Rattus norvegicus: one gene and its partners. The protein of the gene in region 1 interacts with the protein of each later gene in a pairwise test. Links are inferred from orthologs where the notes say so. Each region holds a gene or a part of one and is shown on either strand. Other genes may lie near its edges.

The links.
Region 2: the proteins of Cry1 (region 1) and Bmal1 interact in a two-hybrid assay, tested with the Homo sapiens proteins (3 studies listed by BioGRID, with this or other methods). The link is inferred for Rattus norvegicus from reciprocal best matches to the Homo sapiens genes CRY1 and BMAL1.
Region 3: the proteins of Cry1 (region 1) and Per1 interact in binary tests that used the Homo sapiens proteins (3 or more experiments, as listed by UniProt). The link is inferred for Rattus norvegicus from reciprocal best matches to the Homo sapiens genes CRY1 and PER1.

What each region holds. Positions count from the first base shown.
Region 1 is NC_086025.1:20,468,676-20,474,338, reverse strand, and holds part of Cry1 (cryptochrome-1), read right to left. Parts: coding exon 5,651-5,663; intron 5,568-5,650; coding exon 5,256-5,567; intron 3,324-5,255; coding exon 3,172-3,323; intron 2,863-3,171; coding exon 2,660-2,862; intron 2,562-2,659; coding exon 2,463-2,561; intron 1-2,462.
Region 2 is NC_086019.1:176,764,002-176,770,405, reverse strand, and holds the start of Bmal1 (basic helix-loop-helix ARNT-like protein 1), read right to left. Parts: upstream 4,079-6,404; 5' UTR 3,991-4,078; intron 1-3,990. UniProt on the Homo sapiens protein: Transcriptional activator which forms a core component of the circadian clock.
Region 3 is NC_086028.1:54,302,087-54,308,453, reverse strand, and holds the start of Per1 (period circadian protein homolog 1), read right to left. Parts: upstream 4,079-6,367; 5' UTR 4,022-4,078; coding exon 3,747-4,021; intron 3,626-3,746; coding exon 3,527-3,625; intron 3,434-3,526; coding exon 3,279-3,433; intron 3,181-3,278; coding exon 3,059-3,180; intron 2,974-3,058; coding exon 2,772-2,973; intron 2,659-2,771; coding exon 2,607-2,658; intron 2,502-2,606; coding exon 2,359-2,501; intron 2,005-2,358; coding exon 1,926-2,004; intron 1,854-1,925; coding exon 1,747-1,853; intron 1,576-1,746; coding exon 1,422-1,575; intron 1,331-1,421; coding exon 1,222-1,330; intron 1,140-1,221; coding exon 1,008-1,139; intron 842-1,007; coding exon 736-841; intron 634-735; coding exon 462-633; intron 376-461; coding exon 248-375; intron 27-247; coding exon 1-26. UniProt on the Homo sapiens protein: Transcriptional repressor which forms a core component of the circadian clock.

The sequences.
Region 1 (5,663 bases):
CAGAGACTTGCTTCAAATTATAGGGGCTGCAGGGGAACAGATCTGCAGCAAACTGTCACCACTGACAGCTGTTTTCAGGTGAGTCAGGTCCCAGCTGTGAACTATTTTACCTTATAAACAGCACACACAGAAACGCATCTGCAGAGCAGGCCTCCTGATGCAGAAGGGGCTCAGCTGCACTCAGTCTTATGCAGGAGCTTCCACACTGCGAGGCCTTGTAAGCCGGCCTGGCCGACCTTCCCAGGATGGTGTCTCAAACACCAAGCGAGGACGCACCACTAACGGCCCTGGAGATCACTGTCAGAGGTAGCCCAATCCTCTACTTCTGGGTGCAAGACAAAAACATGTCTTCTTCCCCACAAAACTTAATCCTTAGAAGACAGCACACATGCTGCTTTCATAGAGACATAAGAACTTTCTGATTACAAATAGTTACTTCTTAAAGGGATTGTATTCTCAGACTGGGAATACAGCTCAGTGTGTAGAATGTTTTCTCCCAGCATAAAAGTTCTGGCTTCCAGATGCCCTTCAACAGAGGAATGGATACAGAAAACGGGGTACATCTACACAATGGAATATTACTCAGCTGTCAAAAACAACGAGTTTATGAAATTCGTAGGCAAATGGTTGGAACTGGAAAATATCATCCTGAGTGAGCTAACCCAATCACAGAAAGACATACATGGTATGCACTCATTGATAAGTGGCTATTAGCCCAAATGCTTGAATTACCCTAGATGCCTAGAACAAACAAAACTCAAGACGGATGATCAAAATGTGAATGCTTCACTCCTTCTTTAAATGAGGAAAAAGAATACTCTTGGCAGGGAAGGGAGAGGCAAAGATTAAAACAGAGACTGAAGGAACACCCATTCAGAGTCTGCCCCACATGTGGCCCATACATATACAGCCACCCAATTAGACAAGATGGATGAAGCAAAGAAGTGCAGACCGACAGGAGATGGATGTAGATCACTCCTGAGAGACACAGCCAGAATACAGCAAATACAGAGGCGAATGCCAGCAGCAAACCACTGAACTGAGAATAGGTCCCCTATTGAAGGAATCAGAGAAAGAACTGGAAGAGCTTGAAGGGGCTCGAGACCCCATATGTACAACAATGCCAAGCAACCAGAGCTTCCAGGGACTAAGCCACTACCTAAAGACTATACATGGACTGACCCTGGACTCTGACCTCATAGGTAGCAATGAATATCCTAGTAAGAGCACCAGTGGAAGGGGAAGCCCTGGGTCCTGCTAAGACTGAACCCCCAGTGAACTAGACTATGGGGGAGGGCGGCAATGGGGGGAGGGTTGGGAGGGGAACACCCATAAGGAAGGGGAGGGGGGAGGGGGATGTTTGCCCGGAAACCGGGAAAGGGAATAACACTCGAAATGTATATAAGAAATACTCAAGTTAATAAAAAAAAAAAAAAAAAAAAAAAAAAAAAGTTCTGGCTTCAATTCTCAGCACCATAAAGAAAAGAAGAAGAAGAAAAAGCTTTATTTTTAATAATAGCTTAGAACATGCTGTACCTTAAAATAAAAAAGCATTTCTGAAGAGATGTTTGTTTTGAGTCTCATTATTCTGCCTCACATGAGTTTTGCTTGAATGGATGCAAATTTCCACCATACACTGACTTCTAAGGACTACAGATATGTATTTTTAACTAACTACAGATAGTTACATTGTGTCTGCTTGTTTTTAAGTACAGTGTGTGTGTGTGTGTGTGTGTGTGTGCAGGTATCTGAAAAGGCTAGCACAGGGTGTCAGATTCCTGAAGCTGCAGTTACAGGCAGTTGTGAGATGTGTGCTGTGATCTGGGAATCTGACTTGGGTCCTTTGTAAGAGCAGCAAACACTCTGAGCCACTGAGCCACCTCTCAGCTCATAGAGGGACTTTCGATGCTACTATCACAGACACTGAAAACTGATTAAGAAACTAAACGGTTTCTCAGAAAGACTTTGTATGACAGACTCACGTGCAAAAGGATGAAGCACACATATGGTAATTGGTCCGCTCTCTGCAGACTAACAACGGTTTAGACTGCCTTCTAGATGTGTGCACTCAGTAAGAGTAAAAAGTAATGAACATTCTGAAACGAGATCAGAGTTTCACTCTACACTCAAGCTGATCTTGATGGTGGAGTTCGTGGTGGTACAGCACTTACCTGAGCTTGCTCTAGGACCACATAAAAACAAAACCCTGTATCATTCACTTTACAAGTCTTAGTCTGACTCGGTATCAACTACATGCAATGCTATTTTGCATATTTAACATCTTTGCCGAAGGAGGGAGGGAGGTAGGGATACATATGCACCTGTATGCATGTACACAAACAACTTTTAATTTTAAAGACAGCTTTTCAAAAAGTCAAACCTATTCCAACAAGGCCCACAGGAGCATGTACTCGGTTGTCCCCTCTTTACCATGTCCCCATGTCTAGAACTGTCTCACTTACTTCCGCCACCACTGCCACCGCTGGGGACATTCTCTCCAGGAGCATAGCCCATGAGCCCTCCGTTCCCATTAGGATTAGAAGGGACTGAGGCAAGGAGACCTGAAGGGAGACATTTTCCTGTTAAATTCTGACCAAGAAAGAAATCAATGACAGCTAGGCCTGCACTGACAGGAGACGCCCATAAGGAACTGACATACCTAGCCCTCTGTAGCGGGAGAGCTGCTGATAGATCTGCTTCATTCTTTCAATATTCAGTCGACTTGCCTCGGCATGGTTCACCATTGGTTTGGGATAATTAACGCCTATCAAACATTTGGCTACCTTCTGGATACCTTCTGGTGCATTCCAAGGATCGTAGATATATTTTGCAGGGAAGCCTCTTAGGACAGGCAAATAACGCCTTTTGGGAGAAGGTAGAGAATTTTTTAAATGAACTGTACTATAAGCACATTACAACAAATTATCAACCATGAATGACAAAAAGCAAATCAGTATCACTTAAATAATGTATTATTCTTCTCAGTTCTGCTGCCCATCAAGAATAAAGGTCTTGAATTTCGAGATGAGCCTACCTCTGCCTGCGGGTGCTGGGATTAAAGGTGTGTGTCACCATGCCCCAAAAGACTAGAGAATACTAGTGCTGCTTAAGGACGAAAGCTCTTCCTTGGATTAGCTACTTCCAACTGAACACTAACCACCCTTGCCTTACCTAATATAGTCTCCATTGGGGTCTGTCCTCCTACCAAAACCAACAGGGCAGTAGCAGTGGAAAAACTGTTGGAAAAAGGAACTGCAGGACAGCCACATCCAACTCCCAGCATTGATGCTCCAGTCGGCGTCAAGCAGTAATTCTTCAAAGACCTGTGGAAGGAGCAGTGACCAATCAATTCCCACACACAATTACCCAAAACAGCATTTTGAAGGTCACTGTAGATCAAAACTCGACAGGAAAATCTAGGCAGAACTGAAAATTAAACATTCCAAAATATATGCTGCGTTCTAATAAGCAATGTCTGGGAGAGAATACACAGGAAATACAGCTTTCTGGATAGAATTTACTTTTATAACTGTGGAGAGCCCCCACGGGTGCACAAGTGTGTGTGTGTGTGTGTGTGTGTGTGTGTGTGTGTGTGTGTGTGTGTGTGTGTAAGAGAGACAGAGGCAGATGGGTTGGGGAACGACAACATACACTTGCTCTATAGCTGGAAGTGTTTGGGAAGGACTAGGAAGTGTGTCCTCTTTGAAGACAGTCACTGGCAGTAGGCTTAGGGTTTTAAAGGCCCATATCATTTTCTGGGTGTTCTCTCTCTCTCTCTCTCTCTCTCTCTCTCTCTCTCTCTCTCTCTCTCTCTCTCCCTCCCTCCCTCCCTCCCTCCCTCCCTCCCTCCCTCTCTCTGCTCTGTACCTGTGGATCAGGTGTAAGCTCTTAACGCCTGCTCCACATTCACACCTGCCTCCCTGCTGCTGTGCCACCCATCAAGATGGTCACAGACTCTACCACTCTCTGAAACCATGGCCCTAATTACATGCCTCTGCTTATAAGTTTCCTTGATCATAGTGTTTGGTCATGACAATAGAGAAATAACTAAGACAATGACCTTGGACTTCTACTACTGTGGGGAAAGTAAAAATTACTCAAATTATTGAGTTTTAAAGAGCTGTAAGATATAGTAGATTAAAAAAAGATTAGTATCCCATGTTTAAGAAAGCAAAAAAAAAATCATCAAATAAATCATAACGCAAAATCTAAAAGCCTGGGTGTACTGCATGGACAGAGGAAACATGCCACTACACGGCACCATAAATGCAGTAGCATGATAGTTTACATTTCAAATTCTCTGATCCAAAGAAAATATAACTAAATAATGTATTAATAAATTAAATAATGTATTAATAATGTGTTAATTAGGTACTAGAAGATAATACAAGATGGGAAACAAACCCTTAACAACTAAAAACCAAAGAACAGGATTAGAAACAGTTCCTGAGGAGGTGAGATGGCTCGCTGGGTAAGGGGGCTTGCTGCCACGTCTGACAACTGAGTTCAAGTCCCAGAACCCACATGGTGGAGAGAACCAACAAGTTGTCCTCTAACCCACCCATACACACATAAATTTTAAAAAGGTTTTTAAAATAAACATTCCTTGAATTGGAAAGATTGATGATGTAGCTAGACAGGTAACTCATGATACAGGTCTTTAGTTTAACGATGACAGAGAGCTTACAGTTCATGTAATGTGAACTCACTATTTCTAAGAGCTCATGGGTGAGTATGACAGAGACTGCCACCTATAGATACAGCTATCCAATAAATCAATAAATTACTTTCCTTACTCTTAAAGACAAGCTGATGCTATAGCCAAGGGTGCAAGTGAGGGTGGCCTTGCAGTCCGGGTCTTCTGATGTCTATCATGTAGTATGGACTGCAGGCCTGCACTACCACACAAGGCCAGAGTGCTAAACAGTGACAGCTCTCTTAAGAGAAGGATGGTTTGACTGTAGGGATGACTTATGGTTAAGCCATTTAGCTAGCCCTTGTCTGAGTTCAACACCTTGCTCTTGAAAACTGGGCCTATACTGTGGGCATTATGTGCTTTATCCACTGGAAAGTCAAACTACAGGACAGACAAGTGCGCCGCACAGGTCCTGCTCTTCCCCATCTCACACTGCAGCCCACGATGCTTGAGTTGGTGAAGCTTCCCTTTACTCAGCCTCGCAGGCTGCTCAGACCTCAGCTGTGCACATCTCAGTATAGCTAGACTCCTGCAAACTCTCGTCAGTCAGAACATTTACCTTCATCCCTTCTTCCCAACTGATCCATAGGTCGCCGCGGGTCAGGAAACAGGCAACTGCATGTCGGGCTAGATGGTGGATCCAGCCCTCCTGACGAAGCTGTGTCATGATGGCGTCAATCCACGGAAAGCCTGTCCGGCCTTCTGCCCATTTGGCCAGAGCCTCGGGATTCTTGTCCCAAGGGATTTGAACACAGATGGGGTTCCCTTCCATTTTGTCAAAGCGTGGGTTGTTTGTGGCTGCTGTATAAAAAAATTCACGCCACAGGAGTTGCCCATAAAGAGAAAGGGGAGGGGAACTATTTTTCTTTACCTGTGATTAAAACAACAAAAAAGTACTGTCAGAAAAAAAACTTTTAAGTATTTCAAAAAATATACTCTGATTTAAGATAATACCTTTTTGTAGAGA
Region 2 (6,404 bases), on another chromosome or scaffold:
CCACTGAGCCACTGCAGAGTGTGGGGTGAAGACCTTGCCATACACGCCCAGTGTCTTAACTCATTCGCTCCACACTGCAGCTGCAGGAGCTAGAGGTAGCTCCCATCAGGAGGATAGCAACACAGAGAGAAAAGGCACGTTGGCCATTAGTGATGAAGGATGCACGCAAACTTGGAATGTGAAAGCACTGGGGCTCCAAACCACCTAACAAAAGTGCCTTGCTGTACAGCTGGGAAAGAGGGGCATGAGGAGCTCTAGGCTCCAGGATTCTGGGGAACAGTGCTAAAAGACAGGCTCCAAGCCTGCAACCCCATGGGACACTACTAGACCTGCCACAGTTAAAGCAGGAGGGAGTGGGGCCTGACTACAGATGGGACTCTGGGGATAAGGTGTGTGTGCGTGAGGAGACAGTGTGAGCAGAAGGTAGACGCTGACCTTTGGCAGGAACAGGAAGAGAATCAAGAAAGCAACATGGCCTAAAGGTACAAGGAAGAAGTGACTTCCAGAGAATAAAAGACAAACAAGATCGAACTGCAAAGGGATCAAAACAACCTGAAGTGCAAGACTTAAAAAGTTTCTAGAGGTCTTAAGAAGTATAAAGAAGGAGAAAATCCAGAGGATGAGAACGTTCAGCTCTCAGGGAAGCTAGCATCTTGTTGGGGAGACACCCAGACTCAGGGGCACCTGGTATGGAAACTGCCCAGTGTTCAAGAGACTCACAATAGATCTGTTTCTTCTTATTCCCCAATCAAGACAAAGGTTCCACTGAGACTGGTGGGGTTTCCGAGGGCAGAGTACAAAGGATGTTCTGGTGACAGGAGCCTGGCAGAGGTGGGAGGGAGTGGCATCTGGCACTGAGGAGAGGCTTCCTGTGTGCTAGGCATCTGACACACATCATGTCCCGTCATCCTCTAAGAGGCAGGCGCTGTCACTGCACCAGAGGAGTAGAATGGAGGTCAAAGAAGTCAGGCACTGGTCCAAAGCCACAGAGCTCCAACCCAAGCACCAGCTCCTTCCTCCACAAGAACCCGGGGGCTCCTGCCTATTCGAGAGCTCAGTGGGAAAAACAATGTTTTCTCCCACCTGAGAAAGAGGGGAGGGGACAGTGAGAAACTGGACAGAATGCTCTGAATGGGTAAAAGATGCTGAGAAGCAAAGGTCATAGCAGGTGGATGGAGGGGAGGAGAAAGGTTCAGGGTCAATCTGAGTCCTCTGATGAAATGACAACAATGGAGAAGACGGACAGAAAAGGGTGTGCTTGTGTTCCCTGAGCTCCCTGTTTAACCTCAAAGGTCTAGAAAGGGTTTTGTCTTTCCTAATGTCTCTGCAAATGCCTATTTCAGTTAGCATCACACTGAAGTCACTGTCAGAAACTGCCATGCTGTCAGGGACAGGAGCTCTTTAATCTTCACATTCTCCTACCACAGTGGGGCGACGATGGAATCATAGAAAGAAAAAAGCTCAGAGGATAGAAAGCAGGCTGTCCCCCACGGACAGATAAAATCTTTCATTTTTGCATGTTCATATGTAGCACTGTTAACATGGCAAGGTCTTTCAGTACCACTTATCTATACATGAATTCCAGTGAGACTGGGGATGTGAAGGAATAAATCTGAAAACACGGCCACTTCCTTTTCCTGCCCAGTGGCATGTAAACCTCTTCTGCAGATAGCAAAGAGACGGGTGAATTGTCATCAATTATAAATCATTTGAAATGGATCCCTTTAAACACCATCTGTTGATCTCCTTAACTGTCCCACGGAAAAAAAAAGGACTTTTGCTCAACTGTTCTGACAGCTCCAGGAGGTAAATGCCCACCCACACAGAGAGGCATACAGAATCAAAGAGTGGTAGAAACCTTTGACCTCCCTTAGTTCAACCGTCTGACTTTCCATCAGAGGTGAACATAACCCAGAAAAGTACAGTAACTTGCTCCAAGTGGCAAAGCCACCGGAGTTCCAGTTGGAGCTAGAACCTAGTTTCATGCCTTCTAACTCCCAGGTTACCACTCTTCCACACCTTATCAGAGCCTCTCCCATTTTAAGCAGCAGAGATTGGAACAAAGTACAAATTTAACTGCTGTTTTAACATCATCATTATTCACTGGCAACATCCAAGATAGAACCAAAGTGCTGCTACAGATCCAGCTTCCGCTGATACACCCAATTTTAAATCTGCCTAGAAAATTTCTAACCCTTCTAAATATGTTCAACAACCCATTTTTTTTTAAAGATTTAGCAATAATATAAACCCAGGAACAAAGAATAATCTTAAAGATTACATTTTGTATTTTAAAATATATATATATATATTTGGAACTTCACTGGTATGGGAATCAAATTTAACAACAGTGGTCCCCCCACCCCCTTCTTGCAAGCACGGGAAGCCTGGGATTATTCAAAACTGCTCAAGAGCAGCAACGATTATTTTAAGCTCATGATTCAACTAGTACATTAATTAGAAAATCCACCAACCCAAATTGACAGATCCTGGTATCAATGGGATCTTAAGAATAAAAATAATAGTTGTTAAGCAAAAATAGATTGAAAGAGGGCACAGCAGCAACCGTGAGAAGGACAAATGACAAGCAAGAGCAGGAAAAAAAGCATTTAATGATCAGTTTTCCTGGACAAAACAAAAACAAAACCCGGGGGAGGGGGAACAAAAAAAAAACCAAAAAAAAAAAACAAAAAAACCAAAACCCCCCACAATGAATATCTTAGCCATACTGGTACTGTCAAAAAGTAGTTGGTTGTGATTACAGTATCTGATTTTTGGAAGTTGGGTAAGAAAGTGTGACTAATGAATTCTTGATTAAAAGTAACAATTTAAGACAGGAGAGGAGACCAATCTCAAGGGGTCAAAGGGCCAAAACTAGGCTAAGAGTTGGGAAAGGACTGGAGAAGATGCATCCAGAATAGGTAAGGGGCGATCATGTCAGTTTGGCCAGCGTAACTTGACAACAGACACACCCGTGTCCAACGCAGCCCTTCTTTCCCCAACGCGGAACACAACCGCGGAACACAACCCGCTACGCGACCCCTGGGGATGGCTGCCATGTGCGCCCAGAGTCCTTCTAAAATTCTACCTTCGACCTCTCCCAGCAAACCGGAGCTCCCCCAGCTGTCAACACTGTGGCAATCTCCAGTAAAAACCTTAGTCTTCCCTGATTATCTGTCAAACCCGCATCTGAGTGAAGCCTCACTGCGCACTCCTCTGGTCTCTCGGATGCCCACCGGGTGCAGGGCACGGTCCCCACGCCAGCCGGTACCTACTCGCAGACCCAAAAGGGAAGACACATCCTCCAGGGCCACCCAGGTACCGGACAGCGCAGGCCCGACGGCTGTCCGTGGGCCTGGTCTATGCCTGCCAGGGGATTCCCGGGGTCCGCGCCAGCCCCAAGACAGGCCATAAGGACGCACCAGCACCGACGCCCCGACTTGACGGAGACGCCCTCCCCGCCCCCACCCGGTTCCCGAGGGGGAAGTGTAGAAGGGTTGACCAGGCAAGCGCCGCATAGCATCGTTCTGCCCGCGTCCCGGCCATCCCCTCGGGGATCCAGAAGCTCCCGGGGATGCATCCCGGAGCTCGTCCCAGGCTCGGGTCACTGCCGCTACCCGGTACTGCTGTCTCTTTAAGAGGCCGCCGGCCGCCCCCTCCCGAGCCAGGTGGTGATGCCCGCGCGGGGAAGGTGGGCGCGCCCGCTGACAGTGTCCCAGGGTCCCCCCTGTCCTCCCCCGCCCGCTGTGCAGCCCAGGCGGGGAAGATGGGGGTGCGCAGGAGCGGCGCCTTTAAGGGGCGCAGCCTCCCCGAGGCTGGGTGGGGGCTGGGAGCCGCACGGGCCCTTTAAGGCCGGCAGCGGGCACGTCGGGCAGGGCTCCCGGCGGCCCGGCTGCGCCGCGGGCGGGGGCGGTGCGCCGGCCCGAGAACTCGCGACCCCCGACGGGACGCCCCGAGACGGCCGCTGCCCGCAGCCGTGCCGACACTCACCGTGGCTCGCCGCGAGCGCCCGCGCCCGCACCCGCACTCGGATCCCGCGGCGGCGGCGGCGGCAAGTCCGGCGCGGGTAAACAGGCACCTCCGTCCCTGACCTACTTTCTGCCTTCCCTAAATGTCGCACCACTAACCTACTTTCCGACCAATCCGCTCCCCGCCGGCCCAGGCCCGGCCCCCCGCCCACCAATCGCTGTGCCCAACCCCCCTTCCCCGCCCACCAATGGAGGAGCCGCGGAGCCCGGATACCTGCCTCTTCCCGCTAGCCAATCAGAGCGCGCGAACTGAATTGTCTTGGCGGACAACCCAAACCAATTCGCGTTCGGCTCCGCGTTAAGATAGCCAATCCAGTGACCGATAGAAAAGCCGCTGACCAATGGCAAGACGTCAGGGCTGGTTTACCTGCTACTTTCCCTTCACCAATCATTTGGTGCACAGAAGCACACGCCCCGAGGAGTGGACCAATCGGCGCGCTCTGTGGATTTCTTGCCCCAGCCTTCAGTTTTTTTCTGTCAGGTCTAAAGCTCGCTGAGGCCACCGCGGTGTGGACTCTGCGAGCTCGCCGTAGTCCACTGTTCCTCAGTCGCGTACCCAGCTAGTGCCTGCCTCCCAGCTCTCCCTTTCTCCTTCGTCCCCTTCCTTGCTCGCAGAACGCTGAGAAAACGCCGCATCTCCTCGCCCATCCCTCTCCAGCTCCATCTAGGAAACCACATTATAGGAACACAGAGTGACAGAACCTTCCTGAAACCCCTGACTTGTCCCAGTCGGAACCACAGCGCTAATAGCTAACGTATTTAGAAGACTTTTCCTTCCGACGACTAACCGGATCTCGTGTTCTTTTTGTCTTGACCTCCAAGCGTCCGGTGGAGCTGTCATTCCAGTTCGAAAGAGAAGTCTCCGGGGGGGGGTGGGGGTGGGGGTGGCGTAGTCTGTAATTCCAACCCTCAAGACGCTGAGGCAGGGGGATAGTTGAAAGTACTGAGCTAGCCTGGGCACAGGGTGAGACCTGAGCAAGTTTCTGTTACATGTTACCGACAGGGTCCTAGCAAATCTACTTTGCCAAAGTATCTAAGGAGCCGGGAGTTGGGGGGGGGGGGATTAGGGAGGGGGTAGTTTCAAAGTTGTTAGTTTGTGTGGTTTGTTGCTCTGTTGTAGCCCTAGCTGTCCTGGAACTCAGGCTGGCTTCGAATCAAACTCACAGATATTCACCTGCCTCTGCCTCCTGAGGCACCCCCGTGCGCGCAGAGATTTTTAAAAAGAGAGAAAGAGAGAGGAAGGCCATGACCCATCTCCAGCCCCTTGCAAGGCACGCAGCCTTTATGGAAATGTGTATTGACTTCAAGACCAAAGAAGTTCATGGGTAACTTCCCACTTACCCCGAGTTTCAAAGCAGATTTACTCTTTCTCTGTCCTGTTTTGTGAAGGGATCTCTCTGTGTAGATGGAACTTTAATGCAGCATTAGAGAGGATATTATTTACAAGATGGAAATGCGAGCTGGATGCTGACCTAATTAAATGGACTAATAGCTAGCTAAATTCCGGTAACCTGAAGATGCCGGCTGATGCATCCCACAATATCTCTCTACTGTGTTGTGTGCCCGGCACGTGCTAAAAGCTCTCCTTCATTTTCTTAATCCTTGTATCCTGACAACCACCCTGTGCAGAAAGCAGTTCTTAACCCATTTTACAAAAGTGTCAGTCCGGTTCTAAATGTGTTTTGGTTTGGTTTCCACTCTAAAGGCTCACATCAGACCAATTACCCACCCCCAACCCCCCCAAAAAAATAATGGTGCAAGGCTCCCAACTAGGCCCAGACTCAGGACTTTTACCCATGTCCTGAAAGAAAAACTAGGAGATTTGCATTCATGTGATGGAAAGCCAAGAGAGAAAGAGACACTACATGACATCAACCAAATTTTGCTAGGGAACAGTGGACTTCATAACAGGAGCAACTGTGGGGTCCAGTCTTGGGGGAGCCTGCTGTTCTCAGACAGGGTAGGACGGAGGTGTCTGAACAGATGCATAAAAGATCAAGATGGGAACCCTAAGTCACAACTCAGTCTGAGCCCACAGAGATTTGTGGCTGCTCATAGAAAGAACGCTGTCTCGGGACAATCACCAAAAGTCTAAGAGAAAGCAACACGGGCATCAGTAGACCTGCTGTCTTGGTCAGTACCCACATGGAGTTGTCTCTGTGACGAAGTCTTGGCAAACAAAAATTATCACTGTGCACAAGGAGAGAGATCAGGATGTAATGAGACTAGAAACTATGTCACATGAGGAAAGATTAAAGGAAACAGAAGTTTTTGCCCCGGGGAGTACAAGGTAACTCTCTTTATGTATTTGAAGAGCTGTCAAATAGAAGAGAAATTAGACTTACTTTTTGGGGCCTGGAAGGGATGGAAGGAAAG
Region 3 (6,367 bases), on another chromosome or scaffold:
CCCAGACAGCACTGCTGACGACGTATCTGTGCGGAGAGACAGCACTGGTTACCACCTCTGCCCCTTGTGAGGTCAGGAGAAGGATCCCAGGGAGGAGTAGAGAAGGATTGGCTAGAGGGAGGAACCTGGAGATCAGGAGGCAGGAAAGGGGGACCAGGGAAGAGCAGGGGAGCCTAAGGCAGAAGTGTATAGGCCTGGGACAGGCTGGGACAGGGCAATGGGAGCCAGGCATGCACTGGGTCTTTACCTTTCTTGGCCCCCACAGGAACTGGACCCGCCCTCTGCTTGTCATCATCAGAGGCTGAAGAGGCCGTGCAGGAAGAGGAGGCACATTTACGCTTGGTTGTGTTAGGAATGTTGCAGCTTTCCAAATACCTGGGGATAGATAAAGCAAAGGGTTTAAGGGCAGGGCCTGGGCAGGCAAGGTAGGGCCGAGGGAGAAGGTGACTGGCAAGCCTCACCTGAGGATGCTGTCCAGGCAGTTGATTTGCTGGTAGGAGCAGCCAGAGGACTCTTTCCTCTCTGGCTCCTCAGGGGCCAATGCTAATGAGGCTTGGTCAGGAGCAGGGGCCACCTCCAGTTCCGGGTTTGGGGACTGGCAGGGAAGGACTTTGGCCTTGAATGTACCTGTAGCTGGGGCAAAAGAAAAAGAAACAGTAAATGGGTTGGGAGTGAGGGCCAGGGGACCCTCAAGCCTTACTCCTCATCCCGGGGTCTATGGCAGTACCTACTCACCAAGGAGGCGGGGCCGGGGCGGAGGCTTGGCCCGGGACTCAATGAAGAGCTGTTGTCCCTGGTGCTTTACCAGATGCACATCCTTACAGATCTGCTGGAAAGTCACCTGTGGGGCAGCAGAGCACTGGGCAGCATTGGGATGGCAGTACCAGGAGCCCAAGTATCAGTAAGAAGACCCGGGAGCCTGGGTAGGGGTAGCAGGAGGGACTGCAGTGATGATCTGCAGTAGAAGGACAGCCAGAAGGAAAGTCACCATGGGCGACGGTACTCACTGGAGCAGGAGGCCCAGGCCCCTCAGCATCACCCCCATTGCTATCACTGGAGGAGCCAGGGCTGTGGAGAGGACCAGGGGACATCAGAGGGCCAACTCCACAGAGCCCCGTGGTGCTGGAGCTGTGCACTGGCTACAGCAAGGAGGAGGATGGATTGGTTAGTGTCTATACCTCTTCCTGCCCACTTCATTCCTGAGCTCTCCTCCACGCTCACCTGCAGCAGCAATCGATGGATCTGCTCTGAGAGCTCCTGGATATCAGAGTCCAGGGACGGAGCTGGACTGGGAACTGGGGGTGTGAAGACGTCCTCATTCAGGGGTGCCCTGCAGGGTTGTAAAGGCAGACTCAGTCATTTCCCTAACCCTGTCATATTGCCCCATCCCCAGCGCCAGCTCAAAGACACAGTTCGCTTACGTGCGCACTTTATGGCGGCCCAGCACGAAAGCCACCTTGCGGCTCCAGGGGTGCACAAAGCCGGCCCAGCTGGTATCCATGGTGACATATTCCCCATTCCGAGCACAAAATCGAATAGGGGAGTGGTCAAAGGGCTGGCCTGCCAACTGCAGAACTGTTGGTGGAGGAGAGAGTGGGTGTCAGTGGATTGGGGAGCTGAATAATGCGGAGAAAGAGACACACAGATACTCGAGAGAGCAAAGCCTCAGGAGACACCATCACAAGAACAGTTAAGAAGCCCTAGGGACAGGCAGGGAGGACAGGAGAGCAGGAGAAGAGAACTCACTCTTCTTATGAATGGCCAGCATGAGAGGTCGGTCCTCAGGATGTAGAAAGAGAAGTACCGGAGCCCCCAGGAGATCCTGGGGTAGGTAACCCAGCAGTGGGGCAGCCCTGCAATGGGAGGAGACGTCAGACCTTGGTCTTGGCCCTGGCCACCCACCTTCATCCAAGTCTTTACCTCACCTTTCATCTACATCCTGGAAGAGGCAACTTGGTGTGTGCCGTGTGGTGAAGATCCTCTTGTCAGGAGGAATCCGGGGAGCTGCAGCACAGAACATGTAGGTTGTAGCCCCAGTGGTCCAGCTCCTCAGCCCTCCTCTCTGCCTGGGGTCTGGCTGCCTGGCATTCTTCCTCCCAGCTCAGACCTGGCTTTAGGGCCTACAGGGTCTGAGTCATCTGGTGACTCACACCAGAGAAGACACTGAGAATCACCCATGTACTCTTTCTCACCGGTCACAGCTCAGCCTCCACGCAGGGTCTGAACTCCCCGCCTTTAATACTTTTCTAATCCCAAGGACTCAGCTTGTGCCTCCCAAATTCATATCTTGACCTGCACCCCATCCTAGAGGAAACCCTTCCTCCCCTCATCCCCCAGGCCCGGCCCTAGCCTGTCCACCTTCATAACCAGAGTGGATGCGCTCTGCAATGAGCAGGCAGCACGGCTGTGCAGGGGCCCCATCTGAGACACGAATCTTGGTCACATATGGGGTTAGGCGGAATGGCTGGTAGCGAGGCCCTGGATCCCGGTCAGGCCCTCCTCTGGCAAGGGAGAGATGAGTGTTAGAGGTTTCCAGGGGAAAGCTGTCCCACCCCCTTGTCACAGACCATAGTATAGAGATGGCAGGATGAGTAGGAGAGGCCTACCTGATTCGGCAGAAGACAGACTTTTCCTGGGTGAAGTCCTTGAGGCCTGAACCTAGAACAGATGGGAATGGAAGTGAGCACAGCCAGCGCCCTTTCTGTCCTGGGCTGAGGAGAACCCACAGCATGAAAGCTTTCAAGCCTCTCCACAGAACACTGGTACTATACCTGCAGAGGTGCCAGTGCCCCAGGTGGGCAGGCGAGATGGTGTAGTAGAGCCATAGAAGACACCCACATCCTGGGGAGCTAGGAGCTCTGAGAAGCGAGCACCCCGAAACACATCCCGTTTGCAACGCAGCAGGACACCTGCCTGCTCCGAAATATAGACAATCCGGCCTGTCAGGAAGGACACAGCCACCGAGAAGGTATCCTAGAATGGGACCAAGATTGAGAGAAGATTTAGGAGCTATATGAGAATGAGAGTGTGTGCGCACTGAGACCCAAGCTGCACCGACCTGGTTGCGGAGAGTGTATTCAGATGTGATATGCTCCAATTCCTCCAGGGTGTAAGTAGACATGTCCATGGCACAGGGCTCACCCTCCTCCAGGCTCCACTGCTGGTAATATTCCTGGTTAGCTGCAGGAGAAGGGAATCCCAGCCATCTTCAGTAAGGAGAAAGGCCCCCATACAGTAGTCCATGCCCTGGCCACACCCTGCCAGGAAGCACCACTCACCCTGCACCTGCTTGACACAGGCCAGAGCATACTGGAGTGTGGCCAGGGTCCCAGAGCGGCCCTTTCCCCGACGCTCTGGTGGCAGCCGAAGTTTGAGCTCCCGAAGTGCGGTCATGAGTTCTTTCTGGGTCCTGGCTCGAGCTGACTGTTCACTGCTGCAAGACCCACAGGTAGGAAGGGGCAAAGACATTAGCTCCAGAGTCTGGCCCCAACCCCCAGACATCTCCCACAGCCCTCACCCCACACACCTGCAGCCACTGGTAGACGGGTTGTCCTGCTCTGAGCTTGCACTCAGGAGACTATAGGCAATGGAGCTGCTGGGTGGGGATGGGCTCTGTGAGTTTGTACTAGAAAAGAAGTAACAGGCTAAGTGAGGGCCACGTGGTCAACAGCCTCATACTATCATACACATTCACACACACACACACACACACACACACACACACACACACACACACGTGCACACACCTCTTGCTGCTCTCAGTGGTCTCCAGCAGAGCTGAGTCCTTGCCATTGCCAGAAGATGAACTGTGAGAACTCCGCTGAGATGCACCCCTGGACTCGTGTCCATTGGATTCATTGCCACTTGAGCCATTGCTGTTTGCATCAGTGTCATCAGCCAGGCTAGGGCCTGGACAAGGCCGATGCTGTGGGGCCCCAGGGGATGGAACTCCTCCAGGACAAAAAGGTTCTCCGGGCCTGGGGTCTCCTCCCCCATCAGCCCCTTCTAGGGGACCGCTCATGTCTGGGCCATGCAGTGGAGGACAAAACAGGGAAGGTGAAGAGGCCACAACGGGTACACAACAGGGCTTTTGAGGGCTGGATAAAGAGGTAGGACGCCTGTCTCTGAGGGCTGACTAATTTAATCACGGCACCTAGAAAAAGAAACCAAGAAGGAATGGTTGGCAAAAGCTGAGTTATTAACCCCACAGCACCTGCTGGTTACACTCAGTCCTTCCTCTGCCTGTCCCAGGCCTGGGGTTTGCAGTAGAAAGGTAAGTTCTGTTTCCTATTCCCCTAAGGATACCACAGGTAGGAAGGCAGCTCTCTTAGGCCATCTCTTACACCTCTTGCCAGTGTGCAGTGAGTACAGCCCAAAAAATCCACTACAACTACACTGTGGGTCAAAGCTTGCAGGTTTCCTATGCCCAAATTCTCATTAGGTCCCCACTTGGTCTGGGACTTTGAGGCCTCGGCGCAGGGGGTGAGCTGATCGCCTCCTATATTTAGGCTTCCGGGCTAATTTTATCCGGGGGCGGTGCCACCCCCGCTGCACATGCGCGCCGATGTGCCTGGCCCCACCACGCGCTTCCGCCACAGCCGCGGTCGCCAGGGAAACCGACGTCAGCCGCTGAGCTCAGCGGTTGCTGGAGGGACCACAGGAGGGCAGGAGCGACCCCTCCCCCAACCCCTATCGTCCTGGAAGTGGGAAACCGACCCACTCCGATACTGGCCAACACATCTTCATACTGGCTAACAAGGTTCAGGGCAGCACCGGGATGGGGGAAGAAGGTCACCCACCGTAACAAATCCCCAAGGCCCAGACAGCCTAGGAGCCAAGTGAAGAATGACAAACTAGAGAGACTACAGAAGCAAGTCCTAGTTTCCCCACAGAGAAATATGCGGCCTCTACTCTTCGTGGAAACGCCCCCATCCTCGCTCTTGCCTTGAACAATATTCTGATCAAGACACTGCTTTTCTTTCTAAGGCCCCTACCCACTCCCAAACGCCAAGACTGGAGTTACCACTTGCCATAGGCAAGGATCCATGCATCTTCCTTCGTCCCTTACTCTTCTAGTTAACCCTACCACCACATCAATGTCTTAGATAGAGGACACACAACCAACATAGTTTTTCCTCTACTCCGTCTAACCACACCCCCATCCCAAGTATTTTCTGAGCTCCAGGAGAAAAGGGAAGGAAGGCTGTGGCCAACAGCAAGAACTAGCGCTGGGAACAGGATGTTCCAGCCTGAAGCGGCTGACATCACGACCGGCATAGGGCCAGAAATTGGAGGAAGACCAGGAGCGCAAAAGCCTGAAGGGGGTCTTTGGACCAGGGCAAACCCATGGACTCCCGAGTGTCGAAAAATGGGTGAGGGGGTCGTGTTTGTAAAGGTCTCGTAGGTTCAGATGGCTGCCCTGGAGGAGCAGGGCAGGAGGTTAGGTGAGTGAATAATAAACGCAGACATCGTAAAGGGTTGAGTTAAACACCTAGAGCCCCAGGGGCGGGAAGTGGTGGGCAGTGACAGGAAAGGCGGATTTCTGTTTTGCTCTCTGAGAGCTGAAAGTGACCCATCAGGTTGGAAGTAGTGGTGGCCAAGCTCCGGGACAAAGACTAACCCTAGGATTGCAGCAGGGATCCCTACCTGGCCGTTCGAGCGCCCTCCAGCCGCCTGCCGTTTCGGCCCGCAACCGAGAAGCTCCGCGAGGCTGGGAGGCGGGTTGCATAATGCCAGGCCCTGCCCCTCATTGGCCTTCTGCCCGAAGAGCCGCAGGCCCCGCCCCCCCGGTTGGCTAAGGATCTCTCCCTGGCATCTGATTGGCTACTGGCCCCCACTGAGGTCAGGGCTGTGTCACACACATCCTTGCACGTGGACTTGGGTGCTGGTGCTGGGCTGAAGGGCCTCAGACACCGCTCAGTCAGCCAATGCGCTCAGGATGCCTCATACAGTCAATAATGAAAGGGAAGTGAGGGAGGGAAATTACTCCTTTTCAGGGAGGATGCCTGGGCCACAGTGGGTGCTCAAGAGAAACCTACTTCCTAAGCTGACACAACTTTGCAGACACCTGCCCTGGTGCCAGTTGAATGAAATGTCTGAGACCCAATGGAAGTGGGAGAAAGGAAAACCTAGGCTGACATTCCCTGGCCTCTTCCCAACCTTGTCATCCAACCCTTTCCTCTGACACTTCAGATCCCGAGAGAAGGGCAATTGAGGGTCCACCTGTCATTAAGAAAAGACAGCAAAAGCCAATGGCTACTGTGAAAGGAAACAAAAGCAGGTGCTTCGATAGCCAATCAGAGAAAAGGTCTCCAGGCAGCCTCCCTGGTGACTAGTACTGCCTCTGCAAAGGATGCAGCCACCCACA